Linked DNA regions of Macaca mulatta. The protein of the gene in region 1 interacts with the protein of each later gene in a pairwise test. Links are inferred from orthologs where the notes say so. Each region holds a gene or a part of one and is shown on either strand. Other genes may lie near its edges. The genes, in order: PLEKHF2 and MEAF6.

Region 1 (4,386 bases):
CTGGCTTCTATCTATGCACTTTATTTGAGCTAAATAAGTACATGAGAAGTGAGGGGGGCAAACATTTTTACTAATGAGAGTGAGTGACCAAAAATATTTGATAACTAATGCTCTAGGCTTGACCTTAGACAACCAGACATAGCAATTCCTACTTTCCAAATTTAAAAGGACTCTAGGCATTATTTAGTCCTGCCTTTTCCCCACTGATAGATATTCTGTGCATGTAGAGGTGAATGAGGTAGAATGATGGTACAGACAAGCGACTGGCCCTGGCGACTTCCGTACTCATCTAGAGACAACTCTAACACACGAAAGATTGTGTGTGTGTGATCATACAACTTTCCCCATTTAAAAAAAGTTCATCTTTGCCAATTTTGTTCTAATTATTAATTAAAGAAAAAAAAGACTTGTTTCAGAGACAAACTCTATTGAAATAGAGGAGGATGGGAGGCAGCAAGCCTGGAGGAGGAGGATCCCAGGTGGAACAGCAGGGCGGAACCCAAGTCTGCTCTCTTCCCTAGGTGCTCATCCACGTGCAGCTTGGCTGGTAGTGACTCTAATTCAACAGCAATCAAACGCAGGTTAAAACAACTTACTGAAATAATAGATGAATAAGAAATATAAAATTTACCAAAACTCAATTTTCTCCTACACACCACACACACTTTGTTTAAAATAAGTATGCTGTTCTCCCCACCTCGCCCCCATCCCTGGTCTACCCTAAGCAACTTCTTTACCTCTCCACGCACCCACCAGAGCAATTAGCTATCAGATTAATTAGGGCACATTTAACCTTATATACTATGCTATAATTACAGTTTCTAGGTATGTGAAGTAGGCTGATGGGGTTTTGTGTCGTCAAAGTTTTGGAAAGACCAGAATTCTAAAGTATGCATTTAAAAGAAAGGGCTGGCTGGAGCACGTGGGGTATGTGTGTGTCGCCGCAGTTCCCTAGGTTTCAAGAGGAGGGATTTTAGGTAAAGCAAAGGGAAAGTGTGACGGGAAGGATTACTGTGCTAAATGGGAGCAGCAAATGCCAGTACCGACGCCTTTGGGCATCTAAATCCAAAGCCTGCCTTTCTTGTTCTTCAGTTCCCTGGGGAGGCCTGCTGTGGGTGGGGAGGTGTCTTCCTTCTATTCTTCCAGTCTCCCTAAGAACTTGGTAGACAGTTGAGCAATACTTTCTAAGGGCTGGTCGGAGTCAGGAAAGTCAGGTAAGGCGCCCCACGTGCACCTCAACGCGTCGCGGGAGCGCGTCCAGACATCACACATGCACAAGCTCCGCCCGCGGCAGGCCTGGGTGGGTGTGGCCTCCGCCAAAGGCCCCGCCCCTAGAGCGCGTCGCGCGAGGGGCGGGGCGAGGGAACTGGCAAGAAAGGGCGGGGAGCGAGCGGTGTGGGTGTGCTCGTGACCGCGCGCTCGCGCCCGGAGTGTGGGCGGGGGCGCGCCCGTGCGCGCGCAGGGGAGAGGCCAGCCCAGGCAGCCGTTGTCGGGTTCGACTGGAGGGGCGGGGGAGTCACCTGCGAGCGGCTGCGCTGGCGTCCCGCCCGCCCAGCGCGTCTGGATCGCGCCGGCTGAGCGGGGCTGCGGACCGCACACACCCTGGGAGGCCCGGGCGGGGAACGGGCAGAGTCCGCGCCCTGCGTCCGCGACCAGGAGAATCGGACCTTCGCCTTCGCTGCCGCCGCCGCCCGCGGCCGTCGGGGTAGGTGAAGCCCGAGTGGGTGGTCCGCCGGCTCCTGGCTGGCCGGGAGAGGAGACGTGAAACTTTCCGGGCGCTTCCTCCCGCGGTCCCGGAGCCGTCGCGGCGCTGGGAGGTGTCGTCGTCGCGGGCGGTGGCGGCCGACGCCATGTTGGGGTCTGTGAGAAACGGGGCGCTCCCAGCCGCTCCCCTCTCGCCGGGGCCGGCCCGCAGGCCAGTCGCCGCCGCCGTCCCGCCAGCCCGGGAGCAACCCGCGCCCGCCCGCAGGACGCCGCCGCCGCCGCGGGGAAACGGGGGCCGCCGGGGAGGGTCCGGTCCACGGGTCTGCGGGGCGGGGGCCGGCGGACGCGGGAAGAAGCCCCGAGGCCGGGCGAGAAGTTTTGGCGCCTGGGGACGGGGGTCCCGGACACGGCCGGGGGCGTCTCAGGGTCGCAACAAATTTCTGTCCGAAAAGTTTGCAGGGTCTGCATGTTGGGGACATTGTGACCTGAACTACATATTTGTATGTCAATTGGGAGAAAAAAATGGCCCCGCAGAACTTGCTGTGATAGAAGCGATGGTTTATTTGGAGCCTTTTAAAGTTTTATGATCCTTTGCCGAATTTATTTTTCTTTTTAAAAACGTGATTGAAGGCCGAGAGCGCGCTGCTGGTGTTGCTTGAATAGCCTTGTGTGCTCTCCGTACATTCCAGCAATAACTTGAGTGTGCGGTGGAAGTGGGTATGAAGGTTACAGACACCTAAGCCCTCCTCGGTAATTCATAGACTCACAAAACACGTTGTTGATAAATGCCTTCTTTGTCGTGTTGTGTAGTACGTTGCTGAAGAGACTCATTAAAGAAAAATTTAGACACTAACTTTGAGAGTCTTAAAGGCATGTGTTCTTTTAAGAATAAGGAGAAGTGATCCTGACAGTTTGAAGTTTTTTTCCCCTCCCTTTAGTTTCTTAAGGGTGAATGCCTACCGTGTTTTGAGCATTTACCTTTTTTTAATACTCTGGTAGCTCGTGGGGTCTTCACGTTAATTCAGTATTAACGAAGGCTTCATTATAATCTCTTTGGGTCCCGACCGCACAGGGGGTGAATGGTATTAAGCTATTTATTTGGAAAGCACACGTAATTGGCCTCTAAATAAAAGTAGTGTAGTGACTAAGCATCAAAAGAAAAGATTCAGCTTCAGTAACTGAATCTAAATGATTTTTAAATGAAGACATCTTGCTTTAAAATTCTGTTAAATGAACTGAAAAGCCTCTTAAATACAGTAAGCCCTAAAACCCCAAGTTCTTGGAGAATTTTACTTTTTAGATCTAAAAATACAGCTTCTGCTCATATTTGATTGTCAATTTCTTTTTCCTTTTTTCTTCCTTCCTTTTCCTTTTCCTAGACAGGGTCTCTCTGTCGCCCAGGCTGGAGTGCAGTGGTGTCATCTCGGCTCACTGCAGCCTCCACCTCCGGGGCTCAGGTGATCCACCTCGGCCTCCTGAGTAGTTAGGAATACAGGCGCGCATCACCACACCTGGCTAATTTTTGTTTGAATTTTGTGGAGACAGGGTTTTGCCATGTTGCTCAGGCTCTATTGCCAGTTTCTGTTGTTCTTAAGAATTCTTTTAGCTTTGCTTCATTGTCAAGTAAATGCCATTATAATATTTATTTTTTATTTAGAAATGAAATAAACTAATTTCACAAATGTAGCAGCCAAGCTGGTATTTAACTGGGATCTTATGACTCTGAAACCTTTTCATTTTTCCTATAGCATAACTTTGTAGGATACATAACTCAGTTTTCTGGAGCAATCTGTCGATCTCGTTTGCTCTTATCACTGCTCTGACTTGAATTTGGTTCTTCAGTATACTTATTTCCCAGCGAGCTGATTTACAGGTGATCCTTGTGATGAAATTTTTCCTTAAAAATACTTAAGCCTATACTCTTTGAAGCCTTTTCTGCTCTGTTCTCTCATTCCACTCCCTTTCTCTCCCCAGAAATCAATTAATTTCTCCCATGGTATTACTGTAAATATCGCATAGATCTGTCATGACATCTCCGTGACAGCAGGCAACACATCGGGGCTGATTTGCCTCTTCATTCCCTGTATGCCAAGAACATAGCAGATGCTCAGGAAAGGTTTGAATGGATGAGTACACATATGTTTGTTCCTTGTAAATATGCTTCATGAATTTCTTATGAAATTGTAAATTCCATGAGCATCATAGTTAAATCTTCTTTGTAGCCTTTTTCCCAGTACATGCCATCAACTCCATTAAATCCACAAATTGGTTTATTTTATATATATATATCTACACACACACACGCACATATATATATATATATATATATATATATATATATATATATATATATGTTTTGTTGTTGTTTTGTTGATAATTTACCTCAGTAACTGAGTGAATTTTGACCTGGGAGTACAGAACTTGAATATTTATGAAATTTCTAAGTAGATAATGGAGTAAAGTATAATTACTGATGTATGAGAGAGAAACCATGGGTCATCAAAAGGATTATAATCATAATTTTAAGTGTGATTGAATGTATTTGAACTTGATGGAAATACTGTTAATGCTTGAAAATTTTAAAGGTCATATTTGTACATTTAAGCTCTTGGAACAAATCCCATATAGCTCTATCAAGTATTGTTTTGCCGGAATTGTCTTAGAAGTTTTAGAATGCTCTGC
Region 2 (4,252 bases), on another chromosome or scaffold:
AACTTGATTGTGGTCACATGAATCTACACACAAGATAAAGTGACATAGAACTATATATATACATTGTACCAACGTCAATTTCCTGGCTTTGATACTGTATTAGAGTTATATAAAACACACCTATTGGCCGGGCGCGGTGGCTCAAGCCTGTAATCCCAGCACTTTGGGAGGCCGAGGCGGGCGGATCACAAGGTCAGGAGATCGAGACCACAGTGAAACCCCGTCTCTACTAAAAATACAAAAAATTAGCCAGGCGCGGTGGCGGGTGCCTGTAGTCCCAGCTACTCAGGAGGCTGAGGCAGGAGAATGGCGGGAACCCGGGAGGCGGAGCTTGCAGTGAGCCGAGATCGCGCCACTGCACTCCAGCCTGGGAAACAGCGTGAGACTCCGTCTCAAAAAAAAAAAAAAAAAAAAAAAAAAAAAACACCTATTGGGGAAAACTAGATGAAGACTACAAAAGACCATTCTGCCAACTCCCTATGAATCTATAATTATTTCACAATTTAAAAACGTGAAATGTAAATATAGGTGTGTGCTTATATTAATATTATAGAGAGTAAGAGAAAGCAAATGTCACAACACATTAACAATCTGAATACAGGTAGGACAGTATCAAGTGTTCATATACTATTCTTCCCATTTTTCTATAACTTGAAGATAATCCAAAAGTTTAGAAATTTTTTAAAAATATTACTAAGCAAGCAGTGGTACAGCTGGCACACAGGTATGGCAAAAATTGTGAGGGTCAGTTGGGCGTGGTGGCTCACCCCTTTAATTCCAACACTTTGAGAACCTGAGGCAGGAGGACTGCTTGAAACCAGGAGTTCCAGGCCTGCCTGGGCAACAAAGTGAGACCCCACTTCTACAAAAAAAAAAAATGTTTTTAATTAGTCAGGTGCAGTATTGTGTGCCTGTAGTCCCAGCTAATTGAGAGGCTGAGGTGGGAGGATCATTTCAGCCCGGGAGTTTGAGGCTGCAGTGAGCTAAGATTGTGCTACTGCACTCCAGCCTGGACAACAGCATGAGACCCTGTCTCTTAGAAAAAAGAAAAGTGGCCAGGCATGGTGGCTCACACCTATAATCCCAGCACTTTGGGAGGCCAAGGCAGCAGATCACCTGAGGTCAGGAGTTCAAGACCAGCTGGGCCAACATGGAGAAACCTCGTCTCTACTAAAAATAAAAAAATTAGCCAGCCATGGTGGCATGCGCCTGTAATCCCAGCTACTCAGGAGGAAAAAGAAAAAAAGAAAAGAAAAATACTGTGAGGGTAGAACTCACGACTGATTAAAATGTGTAAAAAATTTAATAGAGTGATGTTGTATAAAGATATTGTTATATGCTGTATTTAAGCCTCACACAACCCTGTGCCAAAGGCCCAACTTTTGCTATTTTACAGATGTGAGCTTTGTCTAAGATTATTCAGTGAGGCAGTGCCTGAGCCAGAGTCCAAGAGTTCAAGTCCAGACCACACCACCACTTTACTACTGCCTCTAGCAAACTTGCTACTAAGAGCCTACAGTCCTACAAACACACACAATAGGAACACAATAGGAACACTACAGGCTTTCGACACTCACTTTTGGTTGGTCAGATACCGATCCCAGCCACGAATAATATTGCCATACATCTGAGTGTCTTCCAGGTAGCTTCCCTCAAAAGCATAGATCTGTCGCTCCAAGTTTGCCAGTGTTTCCTGAGAGATGAAAAACAAGGACATGAATAATGCCTTTTAAATGCAAACACTTAAGTCTGACCAAAATGAAATCCTGATATTAGATTTGTAAACGCAAGCTTGTCCACACTAAATCACCCTGTGGAGAGATGGATGATATGGGGAGGAGCAGCCGTTTAGGACTAAGACAGTCTAGACCTTTGGGTGTGATGGACCTCTGAATGTATAAAGCATGTCCCCAGAAAAATACACACACACGCGAAATTTTGCATATACTTTAGAGGATTCACGGAAACCAGGAGTCAAGAACCCAGGCTAACGCAGAACTTGTGCGATATCCACTCCCACGCACAAAAGGTATCGCTACCAGGAGAGGGAAGGGTGAGCAGCCTTTCAGCGTCAACTCGCTCCCCTCCCCGCAGGCTCAGAGAGGCCGCCGGCACCGGGCTGCCAGTTGCTATGGAAACCTGGAAGGGCAGCTTCAGGTGAGAGGGGCCTCCGGGGTGCCCAAGCCGAGACGTGAGGGCAGGAAGAGCTTAGCCACCAGGGTGCATTGGGCCTTGGGTGCCTGTCACAATTCCGAATTCTCCAGAATGTGTTCTTCTCCCTCGCCTGTCACCTTCTAGATATTCCCAAACACATCACAACCCTGTCTATCAAAAGCCTCCATTCAACGGATCTACTACTAGTACCAAAAAGAACACGCTCCCCACCATCCTCCAAAGTCCAGACAGGGTGACTCGGTCCCCCTCCCACACTAGCCTCCTACCCCACCCCCACCCCGCAAAGATCACGGACTCGCCCGCCTCGCCCTTCCTAGCGCCCTCTCCCCGAGTCCCGAGCCCCGGCACCGTCCTCCCTCCACGCCCCCTCCTGCGGCTGCCGCTGCCCCTCCCCCTCCCGCGCTCCCAGCTCCCTCCCGGCTCCGGATTCGCACAGCCGGGAAGCTGAACCGCCGGCGGGCCGCAGAATGCGCACCCGGCCTCAGGCCGCCGAGCACACAGCCCGCCGCGCCGCGCCCCCGGAGTAACGAACGGCCTGGCGCAGCCGGGCTTGGGGCCTGGAGGCGGGGCGGGCGCGGAGCCCCATGCCGGGCAACCCCGGTCCTAGCCCCTCACCGCCAACTCCTGCTTCCGCTTCACGAGCTCCGCCAGCTCCCGCCGGGTGTCCGGGATCTGCGGCGGCGCCGCCTTGTTGTGCATCGCCATGTTGGGCTGAGGCGGGCGGCGGCGGCGCGAGGTTGGGGGCGGTCCCTGCGCCGCCAGGGGGCGCCCCCCGCACTGCGCCTGCGCGCGCGGCTTCCGGAGACGCGTGCAGCGCCGCGCAGAGGTGCTCTGCGGCCGGGACTCTGGACGATCCTTCTCGGAGAGGTCCAGAGAGTCGGCTTCTGCTCTGCCCTTTACGCCGTTTCCTGCCCCTCGGCTGGCCGCGGGCTTTACAGACGCCACAAATCTACCGTGTCCAAAGCCTAGCTCGTCCTCAGGCCTCCGAGTCTCCTGTGCGTCCCGCCTCAGTCCACTTCAGTGAATGACTTTCACTATCCACCGCAATTGCCTGCGTCAGAAACCCGGTTTTCCTCACTCTGCACCCGGAGTAAAACGCGATACCAGGTCAAGCCCTGTGGATTCGACTCCGGAAGAGCTCGCGAATCCATTTGCTTGTGCCTGCGCCTTTTGCCACCTTCTTAGTTCATTCAGGCCCTCCCTGTTTGGGGCTACGTTATTCCAACAGCTTCTTTATTTCCACCTTTAGCCCCATTTAATCCACTATCCACAGTGGTGCCGGAATCTTCCAGAAACAAATGTTATCACTCCCCTGTTTAAAGCCTTTCAGTGGCTTCCCATTTTCCCATTGCCCTTTGGAGAAACAAGTATGTGTAGTGGTTAAGGGCACAAAACTGGAGCGAGAACTACCTTGTTCAAAATCCTATCGCTACATCGATAAAGTGTGCCCCTTTGGGTAAATAACCAAATCTCAACTCCCTCATCTGTAAAATGAAAGCAGTGATAGAATCTACTTAATACAGTTGCTGTGAGGAGTAAATCAGCTAATGTGTGTAAGGGGTTTGGCAGGTGCCAATGACTCTGCAAGTACGAATTCGCTTTTATCGTTAAGTCCAAGGTGTAGACGTTGTTTTCACTTGGCCCCTGTTGATTTCTCCCTCCTCAGCTCTCCATCTTTCACTCTTCTGCAATTTCGCTATCATAAGTCTAAGTGGGATATTTTTTCTTTTTGTTTTGTTTCTTGCTTGGAAGTCTTTGGATTTCTATAATCTGTGGGTTGGTATCTTCCACCAGTTTTGGGAAATCGCAGTCATTTTTCTTCAGATGCCTGTCTCATATTCTCTCTCTTTCTGGAACTCGAACATAAGAAACCTTTATTTTTAACCTACCGTCTATATTTTCTATCTTTTTGTCCCTCTGTGCTGCATTCTGAATAACTGGTTTCGTGTGCGGATCTTGTAACCTGCCATCTTGCTGAACTTCCTTACTAATTTTAGGGGGGTTTTGTATAGATTCCTTGGAATTTTTTACATAGATAATTTCATCTGCAAATGGGGCGTTTTTTTTTTTCTTTCTA

What was found.
Region 2: the proteins of PLEKHF2 (region 1) and MEAF6 interact in binary tests that used the Homo sapiens proteins (3 or more experiments, as listed by UniProt). The two-hybrid records come from large-scale screens. The link is inferred for Macaca mulatta from reciprocal best matches to the Homo sapiens genes PLEKHF2 and MEAF6.

What each region holds. Positions count from the first base shown.
Region 1 is NC_133413.1:105,527,979-105,532,364, forward strand, and holds the start of PLEKHF2 (pleckstrin homology domain-containing family F member 2), read left to right. Parts: upstream 1-1,484; 5' UTR 1,485-1,705; intron 1,706-4,386. UniProt on the Homo sapiens protein: May play a role in early endosome fusion upstream of RAB5, hence regulating receptor trafficking and fluid-phase transport. Enhances cellular sensitivity to TNF-induced apoptosis.
Region 2 is NC_133406.1:203,284,183-203,288,434, reverse strand, and holds the start of MEAF6 (chromatin modification-related protein MEAF6), read right to left. Parts: upstream 2,902-4,252; 5' UTR 2,881-2,901; coding exon 2,791-2,880; intron 1,694-2,790; coding exon 1,578-1,693; intron 1-1,577.